Linked DNA regions of Callithrix jacchus. The protein of the gene in region 1 purifies or fractionates together with the protein of each later gene. This does not show direct contact. Links are inferred from orthologs where the notes say so. Each region holds a gene or a part of one and is shown in the gene's direction. Other genes may lie near its edges.

Region 1 (4,164 bases):
ATAAAAAGCAATTGGTGAAATTTGTGGATTTGGCTAAATTTAACATGTTGATACTGTGGGGGCTGTAGTGTAAGAAGCGCCTGCTGGTGGTCTGTTGTTAAGCTCTTAGTCTTGGAAGTGAGGTCAATGCCTAAATAGGTTATTGAGGTGACTGACAGCTGTGCTTTAGAGGGGGATACCCAGTACCTCCGAGACTTAAGAAAATTAAGGAGGATAGCGGTATGTTGCTGTGACATGGAGAAGGAGGGGCTACAAAGTAACAGGTCATCTATGTACTGGAGAAGGAGACTTGAAGGGGGCAAGAACTGAGGTTAGTCACTAATGCTTGTCTGAAAATGTGGGGGCTGTCCCTAAAGCCCTGGGGCAGGACTGTCTAGGTTAACTGTTGTGACAGGTTAGTGTCCGGATCAGTCTAGGTGAAGGCAAAGAGGAAATAAGACTCTGGGTGAAGGGGAATGGTAAAAAAAAAAAAAAAAAAAAAAAAAGGTGTCCTTCAGGTCTAGGACTGTAAAATGAGTGGTTGCGGAGGGAGTGTTGGATAATAGGGTATAGGGGTTGGGGACCACTGGGTGGAGGGGTACTACCGCCTCATTGATAAGGCGTAGATCTTCGCCTAGGTGGTAGTCACTGGATGGCTTTTGGACTGGTAAAATAGGAGTATTACAAGGAGAACTGGTGGGGATAAGGAGTCCCTGAGCTAAAAGTCGAGTGATGATTGGTTTTAGGCCTTGACGATGGTTTTTTGAGATGGGAAACTGAGGATGGGAGGGAAAGTGGGTAGGGTTTTTGAGAAATATTTTAACTGGCGTGTGATGTGTGGCCACTACAGGCTTGGAGGTATCTTATACTGAGGGGCTAACTACCTCAGGAGGGATAGGGGGTTGAGGTGAAGGGTTATGACCAGGTGCATTACCAGTTAGGGTTAGTGCTAGAAGATGTGTGGGGGATGAGGTTGGCTGTGAGGGGCCAGTGTGTTGGAGGGTGACCCCCTAGAGTTTGGAGGATGTCCCGCCCTAGTAGGGGAACTGGGCATGAAGGCATGATCAGGAAGGAGTGAGAGATTGGGTGCCCCTCAAGGTTACAGGCTAAGGGAGGAGTCTGGTTGGGGCAGGAGGGCTTTCTATCAATTCACATATCTGACACTTGGGAAGGTGTGTTAGGTCTTGAGTAAGAAGGCAACACAGAATAGGTAGCCCCCGTGTCCACCAAGAAGGAAATGGACTTACCTGCTACCTATAGCATTACTTTGAGCTCAGAAGGGCGATAGGGGTCTCCAAGTCTGGGCCACATCAGTCGTCTATGAGGCTGAGGAGTTCAAACGAAGGGACTGCATCTTTTGGACTGGCCTGCCTCTCACATGGAGGTGCAGGGGGTGAGCCTATAGTCTGGGATGGGCAGTCTACTTTCTAGTGTCCAATCCATTTGCAGGTAGGACAGGGTCCCAGGGCCAGTGGCCCTCCTGGCTGCACTTGAAACAGGGCCTGGGTGGGACCTTTGAAGCAGTCTGGGTGGGTCCAGAGAGTCCTGAGGGACCCTTTTGGGGGGCCTTTGACAGGTCCCTTACACCAGATGCTTGGTGAGTTGCCAGCCTCAGAGCCGCTACAAGAGCTTGGGTTTGGAGGCTCACCTGTTGCTGTAGCTGGGCCTGGTGGGTGGCCTCAGCTTTTTCCTCTCCGCCATTAAAAACTTTAAATGCCATGTTTACCAGGTCTCATATGGGAGTTTGGAGGCCCTCCTCTGCCTTCTTTAGTTTTTTTCTAATATCTGGTGCTGACTGGGAAATAAAATGGGCTGCTAGGAGGGTAGCCCCAGCTGAAGAGTCTGGATCTACTCGGGTATGGCCCTTCATACCCGAGTAGATCCAGACTCTGTGTTGTTTTCGCTGGGAACTGCACTCCAGAGCTGTTCCTATTTGGCCGTCTTGGATCCACCTTTTGGGTTACAATTTTTAAATGTCCCTATTCTCTCTTTTGGAAACTGGTTGTGCAGGTTTGTGAGCAGATTTGAACCTCCAGGGGGCAGCATTTACAAATGTTTTTCCACCACTGAGGTCCCTGTCAAGAAGAAGTGGTGAGATGTAGAGGAAGGGATATGGGCTCTGCCGGCCTAGTCTGCAGTCCTAACGTGGACCATGAGCCCCAGAAACTGTGTGTAAACTGGGGTTAGTAGTACACAATGCAGGAGAACTTGATCTGCAACCGCTACTGGTCCTGGGGGTCTGCTGCCTGCTAAGGGGGCAGCACTAGTTGGCATCGCCCTTGCTATCCCCATTTCACAAATAAGGTACAGGAATAGTTACAGCAGGTCCATTGATCAGTGGAGCTTCCCAAGCTGGAATTGAGAGGCAGCTGGGGTTTCACCTAGGACTTTGGACATTAGTGCAGAGTGCCAGGCCTGGGTACTGCCCTGGAGTGAAGAATCATGTGTAATTTACAGGACGTTTTAGAGGCCTCTTAGAAAGTGCTTTCAGGTTCTTGGTAAGACTCATGTAAGAAGCTTCTATATGAATCATATATCTGTGTCTGTCACAAAGCTGAAAATGAAGCCATCATTTTGATAGCATTTTGGAAAACAAAGAAATACTATTTAGATGTGAATAAAGTTCAATGATGAGAAAAGCTATGAAAGTCAAAAGAGGCCTATTAATAGTGAGAATGAAAACTCATCTATAACCTTGCTCCCTTCCCACACACATGTGCAGTTTAACAGTTTGATTTTTTACAATGCACTCGCACTAATCGTATGCCACCAGCTTCTCATTGTGCAGCATGTGTTAGACATCTTTCCTCGTCAGTACATAAGGAGCAACCTCTGCCTTTTCACCAGTCCCCACACTACGCTGAGCTTCTGAGAGCAGCTGCAAGGCAAGAGGGGCTCAAGGGGCAGGGAGCTTGGGGGTAAGGTGGTCCCAATCATCCATATGGGGAGGGGATTAGAAAGAGAAGATTAGTACCTCAGTTCCTTAAAGTGGGCTTTCAAAAAGCTCTTCACTAACCATCCAAGTGATCGTCTCTTTGGGTTAAATGGTTCCCCGTATTTAATTCTTGGAGCACAGCCTCAGAGTACTGGGAGGTGGCTTAGAATAGTTTAGTGTCACACATGGAGAAACATGTCCTTGATGGCTTCTCTCCTAGCTGGGCCAAGGAGTGCTGGATATGTGCTAGGCATTTCAACTGAATCCAGATTGAGGTATGGGTCCATAGGAACGATGGCTCCTGTTGTTCTGCACCAGCTGAGTAGCCTGCGAGGACTGGACCAGTTTTGTATTTTCTGAAACATTACAGAACATCTCTCACATTGTCCTTGCTTATCTTCCTGTTCCAGGATTGATACTGCCAAATGGAAACATTAACTGGAACTGCCCATGCCTTGGGGGAATGGCCAGCGGCCCCTGTGGGGAACAGTTCAAGTCGGCCTTTTCCTGCTTCCACTATAGCAAGGAGGAGATCAAGGGGTCAGACTGTGTAGACCAGTTCCGGGCCATGCAGGAATGCATGCAGAAATACCCAGACCTCTATCCCCAAGAGGATGAGGATGAGGAAGAGGAAGAAAAGAAGAAGCCAGCAGAACAAGTACCAGAAACAGCTCCCTCTGAAGCCACTGCAACCAAAGAGGAAGAGGAGTCAAGTTAATGAAGGCCACAAGGCACTGGGCTCCAGTCCTTCCACTTCAGTGATATGGACCTTTTGCAAGATGCCTTTTAGTCACCTTTCCAGAAAGTGTCTTTCCCTCTGTTGTCCTGTGCACTGTAATATGCAAAATAACTTATTTTGATGATCAGGGGTCTTGGCCTCTTGACATATACACTGAAAAAAATGGGGGTTGTATGTGTGTCCTACCTAAACCTGTAGCCGCCACTTTGATAGAATGCTGAATAAGCTCAGCAAGTAAAAACCATTACCCAGGAACCTTGCTTGTGAGTGAGCTGATACATTCTGATTCATTATATTCCTCTTACTAGATTTTATACCCCTTGGGGAAATAATACAAGTAATAGAAACAAAAACATCTTCTCTTAAAAATGCTGGGGTGGGGCCATATCTACTAGCAGAGGCCAGATGGTCAGATACAATTTCTGCAAACCCATCTTGACCTTGAGTATGTCAAGGGGTACTGTATTTCATTCCCGATACATTGTGGTTTCCATGTTGGTGTTGAGCTCCT
Region 2 (5,463 bases), on another chromosome or scaffold:
ACTGCCTTAGCCTCCTGAGTAGCTGAGATTAAAGGTGCCCGCCATCATACCTGACTAATTTTTTTTTTATTTTTAGTAGAGATGGGGTATCACCATGTTGGCCAGGCTGGTCTTGAACTCCTGACCTCAGATGATCCACCCGCCTCAGCCTCCCAAAGTGCTGGGATTACACTTGTGAGCCACCGCACCTGGCCAATGTTTACTATATTTTCAAAAGCAAAACCCAAGGCAAGATACGTCTATCTGTACAAGAGTATGACAGCAGCATTTTTGCATAATAGGCAAAAACTGGAAACAATCCAAACATCCATCAACAGGAGAATGGATAAACGAATTGTGGCATATTCATACAGTCAAACACTAGACAGCAATAAAACAGAAGAAATAACAGATACACACAACAAAGTGGAAGAAATCTTACAGGTAAATTGAGCTAAAGAACTCAGGCACAGGCCGGTGGGGTGGCTCACACCTGTAATCCCAGCACTTTGGGAAGCTGAGGCGGGTGGATCATGAGGAGGTCAAGAGATCGAGACTATCCTGGCTAACATGGTGAAACCCCGTCTCTACTAAAAATACAAAAGTTAGCTGGGAGTGGTGGCACACCCCTGTCATCCCAGCTACTCAGGAGGCTGAGGCAGGAGAATCGCTTGAACTGGGCAGGTGGGGGTTGCAGTGAGCCGAGATCGTGCCAGTGCACTCCAGCCTGACAACAGTGAGACTCCATCTCAAATAAATAAATAAATAAGAAGTCAGGCACAAAATAGAAAATAATGTATAATTCCATTTACCTTAAGTTCAAGAACAGGGAAAACTAATTGATGGTGATACAGGTCAGAATAGTGGTTAACTTCGAGAGGGAGTATTGATGGGGAAGGAACACTAGATAACTTTTTGGGGTACAGGAAGCATATCCTGATCTGTGTGGTGGTTATATGAATGTATATATATATATAAGCTTTAGAGTTGTGTATTTTATGCACTTCATGAATGTTATACCTCAATCTTAAAAAATCGGGGCACAAGGTTTGACAAAGATGAGTCTTCAGAGCAGTAGGAAGGTCAGCTGTTTAAAATCAGGATGGTCCTGGACAATTAGAGAAGCATGTGACGACCATACATATAAAATGTCTAGCCCACCTTTTCCAATGGGCAATGTACCCTTGAGTCATTAATTTACATCTTGTAAATTTATTTTACTAGGAAATTGTGTGACAAATCAAGGGACTGAGTGTTGTTTCCTTCTTTTTAGTGGGCAATGAGCGAATGGTGCAGTTTGAGGAATACATTAAGTCTTGAAAGATGAGAAGTTCACCAGTACCCTCCTTCTGCCTCACCCAAGATTAGTCCTGGTGGCAGCCTAAATTGCGTTTATTAATCTTTTTATGGCTCAGGGCCTCTCACTGTTGAAGAAAACGTATTTCACACGTCTCCTCTTTCTGTAAGCAGGAACCGTATCTCGCTTATCTTTGCAACCCAGACAGTGTTAGTGTGATCTACACACAGCAGTAATCGCACAACGTCCTATGGAGCACTGCTTCTCAAATTTGGCTGTACAAACGAATCACCTGGGGAATTTTAAATTGTACTGATACCTGGGTCCTACTCGCAGAGATTCTGATTTAATTGAAATGAGGCGAGTCGTGGGCACTGGGATTTTTAAAAGCGTTCCAGGTGATTTTAACGCGAAACAAAAACTGAGAACCGCTGTTGGGGGTGTTCTTCCGTCTCCACGCCTGATTTGTGGCTGTCCCGGACGGGGGTGAGGTTCACTGATATCTGTCGCCACACCTCTTCCTACAGAACCAATAAACTGAAAACTCTCGGTGACAACCTGAGACTTGAATTCTGATCGGGCCGCAGGCGCTCTGCACCCAGCCCAAGCCTCTATGGTACTTTGGCGTCCCCTCTAGCACTGGCAAATCGCCTTCCTCTTCGCCCGGCGCCGCTCGCTCCCTTTGTAAGATCGCCGAGTTCCCGGAGCCGTCTCGTTGGTATTTCATTCCGGAAGCGAGTTTGGAGCCAAGAAGAGGCGGGACTTCTCTCCCGGAAGTAATCCACGTGCTTCCGCTGGAGCCTTCTTGGGAGGCAGGTAACGTTATAGTATTTGTAAGGTCTCCGTGGGCATTGTGATCCGTCCCAGGTAGTGGTGAGTGATCCGTGACTTCTGAATTCAATGTGTCCCTGATTATGGCGTCACCATTTCAGAAGTGCATCCTTTGGGCCGGGTCCCGGTCTCCTCTGTTCAGCGTATGATCTCATTCCCAGGGCCCTGGAGGTTCAGGCCTGGGTTAGAGCGTTCTGAACCGGTCCTCGATCTTCTGAATAGAGATGACCTCTAGGGACTTGGGTATCAGAGATCCAGGGCTCGATTTCCAGGCTCGCCGTGAATGTCCCGTGCGACCTTGGACTAGGCCTCAGTTTCCACATCCGTGAAATGGGGTTAAGCTAGGTTAAGCTCACTGAGGTTAGTGGCCCCTGGTGGTCTGGCGCCCTGTGAGTCTTTTGGATCCTCTAGCCCCGGGGTAGGAGAGTGAACGACGGCAGTGGGTGATGACGGTGGTGTCTCCTCCCAGGATTAGGAGGCCAGAAGGAGATCCCTTCCAGGGTGCTAGGCCAAGATGGATCCGCTCAGGGCCCAACAGCTGGCCGCAGAGCTGGAGGTGGAGATGATGGCCGATATGTACAACAGGTAAAGAGAACCATGTGCTACACTGTCTTGGAAAATAAGCCTTGGCCACCCTTTTCGAAGGTGAATGACTTATAACAAATTTCATCCTGAATGTAGGGGAGCGAGAGACCCATGCTTACTCTCACCATACCCACCTTCAAGGTTGATTCTAATGCAGATGCAGTAAAGGGTCACTAGAATATTTAGATGGGGATAGAACTGGAGATGCGGGAGCCAAGCAGGAAGAGAAACTCCAATTCAGGCTCTGGTTAGGTTCCAAGAAAAGCTGAAAAGCTGAGTATTTGCTTTTTGGCAAATAGCACATAGCCAGCCCATTTAGTAGTTAACATTTTAAAGCCCTTGGCCGAGGCAGTGGCTCATGCCCGTAATTCCAGCACTTTGGGAGGCCGAGGTGGGCAGATCACGAGGTCAGAAGTTCCAGATGTCTGGCCAACATGGCACAATCCCATCTCTACTAAAAATACAAAAATTATCCGGGCATGGTGGCAGGCACCTGTATTCCCAGCTACTAGGGAGACTGAGGCAGGAGAATCACTTGCACCCAGAAGACGGAGGTTGTGGTGAGCTGAGATTGTGCCACTGCACTCCAGCCTGGACAGCAAGAGCAAAACTCCATCTCAAAAAAACAAAAAACAAAACCCTTTATTCTGTGTCAGTCACTTGTTAATCTTCAAAATAATCCAGTGGGTTAATTTTATTAGTCCCATCTTAAAATGAGGAAATTGATGCTTCTAGAAGTTAAGTAACTTCCTCAGAGTCCGCAGTTGGTCAGTAACAACACCAGAACTAGCACCTCAGTCTGATTCTGCAACTAGTGCTCATAATCATTTGGCAAATTTGGGAACAAATCCCGGCTCCACCAATCACCAGCAGTGTTCTTGGACGTGTTACTTGCACTGTTTGACAATTGGTTTCCTCATTATGAAAAAGACATAATGATACCTACCTCATAGGGTATTATATATATTACATTTAAAAATTTCTGAAAGCCCTTAGCCTCAAGTCCAACACTTAGCAACAGTGAAATATCTGCTATTTTTATTGACTTAACCTCTCTTGATTGGTTGGTTTACCCTGAAGGCTATAAATTAGGAAGGATTTTTAAGTGTAGGAAGTGAGGCCAGATGATCTGTGTTCATATTTTAGCTCTATGTGATTCTTAGAAAATTACCGAGCCTCTCTTGGCTTAATTTCCTCATCTGTAAAATGGGGATAAGTATCTCTTAGGGTGATTGTAAGGATTGCATAACAGAATGCATGTAAAGCACTTAGCATGATGCCTGGCACATAGCCAGTTTAACAAATGCTTTCTGCTTAATTAGTCATATACAGGGGCTCAGACAAGTGTCCTGCTTGCAAGGAGCTTCCAGTGGTTGAGGTGGAAACTGAGGATTTATAGTGCTTTCTTGGGGAAGGTGAAATCAATATAGCAGGGCTGGGATGGTCGAGGGTTCCTGGGATGTCACAGGATGCTGCTGACATGACCTTGCCCCTCCCTCCCTCCAGAATGACCAGTGCCTGCCACCGGAAGTGTGTGCCTCCTCACTACAAGGAAGCAGAGCTGTCCAAGGGCGAGTCTGTGTGCCTGGACCGATGTGTGTCTAAGTACCTGGACATCCATGAGCGGATGGGCAAAAAGTTGACAGAGTTGTCTATGCAGGATGAAGAGCTGATGAAGAGGGTGCAGCAGAGCTCTGGGCCCGCGTGAGGTCTCAGTCAGTATATACCCTGGGCTATATCCCACCCCTCCCCACTCGAATAAAAGTGCCCTCTGTTGGGTGTCATCTGTGAAGACTGCCAGGCCTAGGCTCTCGGTAGAGTCTTCAAGATCCCAGAGTGGTAGTGCTTTCTCCTGGTGAAGGAGTATTTGTCACACTGGAATGTGACTGTGTGTGAATGTATGTGTGTGTGTATATATATATATATATATTAAAACAACTTTGTTGACACCTACTATGTGCAAAGCAGTGTGCTTGGCATTTGAGAGTAAACAGAGAAAACCTCACAAGCAGAGAGGAGACTAATGTAGTATTTTAAGAGTAAGACAGTCCGGCATGGTTGCTCACTCTGTAATCAGCACTTTGGGAGGCTTGGGGCGTGGGTGATCACTTGAGGTCAGGAGTTCAAGACCAGCCTGGCTAACATGGCAAAACCCCATCTCTGCTGAAATACAAAAATTACCTGGGTGTAGTGGCATGTGCCTGTAATCCCAGCTACTTAGGAGGCTGAGGCAGGAAAATTGTCTGAACCTCAGAGGTAGAGGTTGCCTGAGTCGAGATTGTGCCACTGTACTCTCCAACCTGGGGGACAGAGCAAGACTCTGTCTCCAAAAAAAAAAAACAAAAAACCAAAACAAAACAGGAAGACAGCTTCAGTTTGCCTGCTTTCTGCTGTTTTTTATGTGGCCCTGAACCTGTCATTTTTGCCTGCTTTCGCTTCTTCATCTGTAAAACGGTTAGTCAAACATGGTTAGCCCTTTGACTATCCCTGTTTTACAGATGAGGAAGCTGAGGATTTAAGAAGCATGTTGCTTGCTTGAGTTCACACAAGCAGAGCAATAATATGGAGGCCAGACCCGACTGCTACTGCGTTTGCTGTCTCACCGAGGAGCATCTTCAGAGGACTGAGCAGTTTTCAGAATGTGTAGGTCTCCAGATGGGACTGTGGTTGACATCAATGCCACTGTGACAGTAGTACCTTCAAAGTTGGCCTTCCTGGCGAAAGTGTCTGGGATGTAACTAGGTCATTGACATAAAGGAGATAGAATAGAG
Region 3 (5,560 bases), on another chromosome or scaffold:
TAAATGAATTATTAAGTGCATTCTTTGCTTTAATCATTTTTTTTTCATACTGGTCTTTTTTGAGTCACTGAATTCCTCCACATTTCTCAAATTTCCAAAGTAACTTTAACATCCGGAATTCAGGCCTCCTTTTGTTATTAGTGGCCCAGGAAATCCCTTATAATATTGGCTATGAGTCTACTGTCACTGTAATGTCACCTGTTTTGAGCCGCTCTTAGAGACTGGATAATAGCTACAGCAGAATATCTAGTTTGACAACAGTTTAGCTTTGCCTCGCAGTGATGAAAGTTTGGTATCTGCACAGTTTCTAGGTGAAGGAGGCAATCACAGTAGAGGTATGTTTCTATATGCTTACAACCTAGACAAAAGAGGGAAAATCCTATGCATATACACATATATATGTTAGCATTAAAGTTACCATGCCTCTAATTTTACAGTAAGTGTCTCGTTAATTTAGTTGAAAGGCCATTCCTAAGCCTTTACAAGCAGTTTTAATTACAAAATATGCATATTCTGATTATTCAGTAATATGTAGAATCTCTCAACTTCTAATTCAACTTGAATTAGTAGACTCTTGTCTCTTTTTCAATCTGTCCCTCAAACCTAGGTTTTACAAGCCTGTATCCGAGGTTTATAAGCTAGTATCCCAGTTTCTACAGTCACCTGTCTTTGTAAAATGTTTCAAGGAGGCTTTAATATTCATAACATGAACTCAATATATTACTATAAAATTTACATTTAATAAGTAAATCTATTAGGGTTTACTATCGTGTTGCTAATGAGTCATGTAATAGCCACTTTAAAGAGAAAGCGCTACTTAAAACATAAATGAAAGCCACATATTACGGTATCAATACTTTTCAGCATTTTATTGGAGAAGAGTAAATCTAGCAAATTTCCAAAATACAGCATCTAATCCAGGCTGGGTTACAATTTTTAAAATCGATTCACTCTAATCAATCATACAAAGTCCTACAAGAAGTTGTACATGTGAAAGTAATTTAATTTTTTTTTTTTTAAGACCGGGTTTCACCATGTTGGCCAGGCTGGTCTCGAACTCCTGACCTCAAGTGATCCACAAGCCTTGGCCTCCCAAAGTGCTGGGATTACAGGCATGAGCTACCGCGCTCAGCCTTTTTATTTATTTATTTATTTTATTTTTTTGAAGTAAGCTTTCTGTCAACAATTCAGACTTTACACGAACTTAATTGACCTTCCCTGAGTGTCTAAATTTGGTTAGGTATTTGAAGATTAGCCACATCTGTAAACATGGTATATGGAGGTGAAACAAATAGCTTTTATCATGCTCTTATTCCATGAAGTCCACAAAACATGCTAAATCAAATGTAGAGTATCACGTCATATCCAGAATAAAAGTAATAGATCACAACTTAAAATTACAGTGCTGCCTTTAATCAAAAAACTTGCTCGCTTCTCACTGTGTATAATGTAGCACTAACATGGTCTTCCGAACAGTGCTTCTTGGTATAAAACCAAGAAATATTAAAGAACAGGAATAAGGTTATGTTTCCTCTGGATATATTTCAGAAAAGAAAATATTTCCAACGACTATGACTGTAGATGGGATTTTGTACACTCTCAACAGGTGACAAAATTTAAAACTAGGTAACTGCCTTCATAAGGAACTTGAAACTAAAATTTTCGCCACAAAAACATGACATGTGCAAAAGTTATCTCTCTGGCCATCACTTCTGCTAGGGACACTGGCAAGGACATGGGCAACGTAACAATCGATCAAAAAGATTCCAGGGGAACTGCGCAACAGCCTGGGGCCAAGAAGCGAAACTTGGTCTTCTCCATCCTCGTCTCACTCGTTTTTCCAGAGCCTTCCTGCGTGAAGGCAACACTTGTCACGAGCGGCTGGACTTAGGACAGGCAATTTGCCCTGCCACCCTTCTGTCACCCCCACCCCTCCCTTACTTAAGGCCGATGGCAGAGACGTCCTCCTCCCCCTTCTCCTCCTCTTTGGTGCCTCCAGCCAGGAGGCGGGAGCGACCCACAGCAGCTGACCCAGCTCAGGCACTGCCTCTCCCACAGCCCTCAAGACACACCATGGGCCCAGAGGCAGGTTTGCTACACAGCAGTGACGACGCAGGTGGCGGCCCCGGCGACACTCAACTGCCTCCCTGACCACAGCGACCACCGCCTAACACCCCCGAGAAGCCATCGCCACCACCGGCAGGAGAACCTAGGGTCCATTAAAGCCATCTTCGCGATCAACTCAAGCTACGTCAACAACTATGGCGGGGGAGGGGCGGCGGCCGGAGGCGGTGCGGGAAGGATTGGGTATGTACGTCACCCCCAGGGCCCCCATCCGAGAAGGAAGGGGCCGGCTCGCCCCTCAAAATGGCGGCAGCAGCGATGCGCCTGCGTACGCAACTCCTCTGTCGCGCCAGGGCCGGCGGGAAGTGAGGTTTTCTGAGGAGCCGCCAGAAGTGTACGGCGACTTCGAGCCCCGGGTGGCCAAAGAAAGGTCCCCGGTGGGAAAACGAATCCGGCTAGTAGAGTTCCGGCCCGATTCGGCGAAAGAGGAAGTGAGAGAAAGCGCGTACTATCTTCGGTCTAGGCAGCGGAGGCAGCCGCTACCCCAGGAAGCTGAAGAGATGAAGACGCGAAGGGCTACCCGCCTTCGGCAGCAGCACTCAGAGCAGTCTCCGCTACAGCCGTCTCCCGCTACGGCTAGGAGAGGGCTGCGGGACTCTCATTCCTCTGAAGGTGAGGACCGCGGAGGTAACAGTCCCAACCGCGAGCTAGGGAACGCGCGAGGGCGGGCGCGCGCCTCGGTGGATCTCACCCCGGCCTGGGTACTAAGTACTGGGATTGGGTAGTGGGTATTGGGTACTCCTCAGCCCCCTCCGGACGTGTGCCCCCGTGCAGCGTCCATCCTGACCCGCTAGCGGGAAGGAAGCGCCGAGCCAAGGAGTGGAAAGATGGTCGTACGGAGCGACCGAAGCAGGGCTGGGGCGCTCTGCCCAACATCGGGCATCAATTTAGGGGAGTCAGGGCTGCCTGTTTCTGCAGGCCTTCACGAGGGGACAGCGAATTATTCCAGGTTTGGTTTCATTTCGGTTTTCTCTACCCTGCGGATGTTTCTACCGAAACCACTTCCATTTCCTTCTTTAAAGCTCACAGGCCAGAGTCCCCAGCTGAGGATCTAACCTTCCAGTCTTTTTCCCTCCCCACCCAGATGGGGAGAGAAGGAGAGATTTTGTGAGTGGGCATTTCGAGGGGTTGCCGAGTTCAGTGAATTGATTTGAGACCTCACCCAGTGCTTACACCGAAATGGGGTAACTCATTTATCCTGCACTGATGTTCCCCAGTGTCTGATACACTTGAGCTGATTGCTCTTTCTCCAGTATGGTGGTCCCTGCTAAAAATGTGCCACTTTGGTGAGCGTCACTGTAACCTAAAGTAGTGTGGTAAATCAGGCTGACAAAGCAACGTGAAAAACAAGACTATTCATTAGCATTTTCATCCAAATGGACAAAAGGGATGCTGACAAAGTGAAGGTACAGTGTTAGGTAAGTGGTAGGTCAATCAGTTTCCTTAACCTATTCCTCCCACCCCGCCCTCCACTCCCCATTCTGGAACCTAACACTGAGTCACAGATGAAGTTTCATGTTAGTCCCACGGTAAGGTACCTGCGAGGTAAAAATCAGCGGATCTGAGTCACCATGGGATGACACAGTTTGTGGTAGACTATTGATTTGAGGAAGAGTGGGTTTGCACTTTAGAGCACGGTGATAGACTGCAGGTTTTCCTGCTGACTCGTGAAGGTACTGACAGATTTGAAGACTTGATTTTGGAAACTTTATGTTAAAGTTACGTCAGTTACTTTTGGATGTAGCAGCTCAAGACAGTGTGGCCCATATATGTGTTAGTTTTATCTCTTTTAAGATTAAAAGTTTTTGCAGACAAGGAGCCTATTATATATAGTTGATAGTAATTTAAGTACTTGGTTTAATCCAGTATCTTTCAATACTTGGAAGAATGCTTTGCACATGGTAGGCAATAAATATGTTGCATTGTATTGAGTCCCACAGAGCCCAGTGCAGTTATATCGGCTAACTTTTTTTAGAAGTAAAGAATGTACCCCTATTCTATTAAATCTTTAAGGATCTAAACATTTTTCACTCTTCTGCTTTCTTCCACACCATTTGTGACTCTCTACTCCATCTTTTTACTTTTCTGAAGTAATATATTTTTATAAAACAACAATGCAAATATTTTTATGTTCTGATGAATTAGTTATATTCTATCTCAAGAGGAATTCTGACTAGTTTAATTCCTAAGTTTGGTAAACCTAACTACCTGTTTCTAAAGAAGTGAATTCCTTGCATTTTTGCTTTTGTTATTGTTATAAAAATCCGTAATCTGTGCCATGATCTCCCAGGTCATGTTCTGAATTTTAACTCTTGTTACATCTGTTTTTTTAGAGGATGAATTATCTTCCCAAAGTGATTTAAGCCAAACAATCTCAAAGAAAACTGTCAGGACCACACAGGAGGCTCCAGGTAAGAATAGTTAACCTTTTGTTTTTCTCCTTACCTGCCAGCTTTTTAAATGTTCATTGAATTAAGCAATGTAAGTATGTGTAAAGAAAAGACAAGGGCAGACATGTGAGTACTCAGAGGAGCAGCCACCCATATAACCTTGAAAGATAAATATTATACCAACTTCATAGAAGAGAAAACTGAAGCTCAGAGAAACTAAGACAGTTCTCTAAGATCACATTATGTGACTGAACCCAATATTCAAACCCAGGTTTGTCTTCTCCAGAGTCCTTTCATTCTCCCCCAAGTGGCTCAGTGTCATTCTCTCATGTCCTAACTAGCTACTTAGTGAAGTTTGTTAGGTATCAAATGAACGAATGTGTCATACTGCCCTCTTGTTTAAAATGGATTAAGTTTTCTTCTTGGTAAAATCTTGACACAATGTATTCAGTCTTTTCAGTTTAATACTGTGATTTGTCAAATCTAAGATGCCATCAACTGTAAGAAACATCATCATTGTTAGGCCGGGCATGGTGGCTCACACCTGTAATCCCAGCACTTTGGGAGGCCGAGGTCAAGAGATCGAGACCATCCCGGTCAACATGGTGAAACCCCATCTCTACTAAAAAAATACAAAAAATTAGCTGGGCATGGTGGCGCATGCCTGTAATCCCAGCTACTCGGGAGGCTGAGGCAGGAAAATTGCCTGAACCCAGGAGGTGGAGGTTGCAGTGAGCCGAGATCGTGCCATTGCACTCCAGCCTGGGTAACAAGAGCGAAACTCCATCTCAAAAAAAAAAAAAAAGAAGAAAGAAACATCATCATTGTTTTATGTACCACCTAGCAGGGGAAAATGCTGCCAATTTTTTGGTAATTTATGGTAATATGCCATAATTATATGATGCATCCCAATTTCAGAGTTGTTGGGATGTTAAAGGGTGTAAAAAACTTGTCTTAGAATCAATGTAACATGGAAGTAGGCTATATTTAACAGTTTACTTAAGTTTTAAAAGCTGTTTAAAATATTTTAAAAAGCTGGAGAAAGG

The links. The genes of interacting proteins can lie anywhere in the genome.
Region 2: the proteins of CHCHD4 (region 1) and TIMM10 purify together in Homo sapiens (co-immunoprecipitation; 4 studies listed by BioGRID and IntAct, with this or other methods). This does not show direct contact. The link is inferred for Callithrix jacchus from reciprocal best matches to the Homo sapiens genes CHCHD4 and TIMM10.
Region 3: the proteins of CHCHD4 (region 1) and TOR1AIP1 purify together in Homo sapiens (co-immunoprecipitation; 3 studies listed by BioGRID and IntAct, with this or other methods). This does not show direct contact. The link is inferred for Callithrix jacchus from reciprocal best matches to the Homo sapiens genes CHCHD4 and TOR1AIP1.

Annotation. Positions count from the first base shown.
Region 1 is NC_133516.1:71,077,509-71,081,672, reverse strand, and holds part of CHCHD4 (mitochondrial intermembrane space import and assembly protein 40), read left to right. Parts: intron 1-3,324; coding exon 3,325-3,632; 3' UTR 3,633-4,164.
Region 2 is NC_133511.1:115,097,708-115,103,170, reverse strand, and holds TIMM10 (mitochondrial import inner membrane translocase subunit Tim10), read left to right. Parts: upstream 1-2,054; 5' UTR 2,055-2,088; exon of another isoform or gene 2,089-2,149; intron 2,150-2,243; exon of another isoform or gene 2,244-2,467; intron 2,468-2,576; 5' UTR 2,577-2,621; coding exon 2,622-2,692; intron 2,693-4,198; coding exon 4,199-4,400; 3' UTR 4,401-4,643; downstream 4,644-5,463.
Region 3 is NC_133519.1:23,486,415-23,491,974, reverse strand, and holds the start of TOR1AIP1 (torsin-1A-interacting protein 1), read left to right. Parts: upstream 1-2,151; 5' UTR 2,152-2,261; coding exon 2,262-2,736; intron 2,737-4,457; coding exon 4,458-4,535; intron 4,536-5,560. Other genes in the region: uncharacterized protein LOC144580249, read left to right, coding at 1,951-2,151. UniProt on the Homo sapiens protein: Required for nuclear membrane integrity. Induces TOR1A and TOR1B ATPase activity and is required for their location on the nuclear membrane. Binds to A- and B-type lamins. Possible role in membrane attachment and assembly of the nuclear lamina.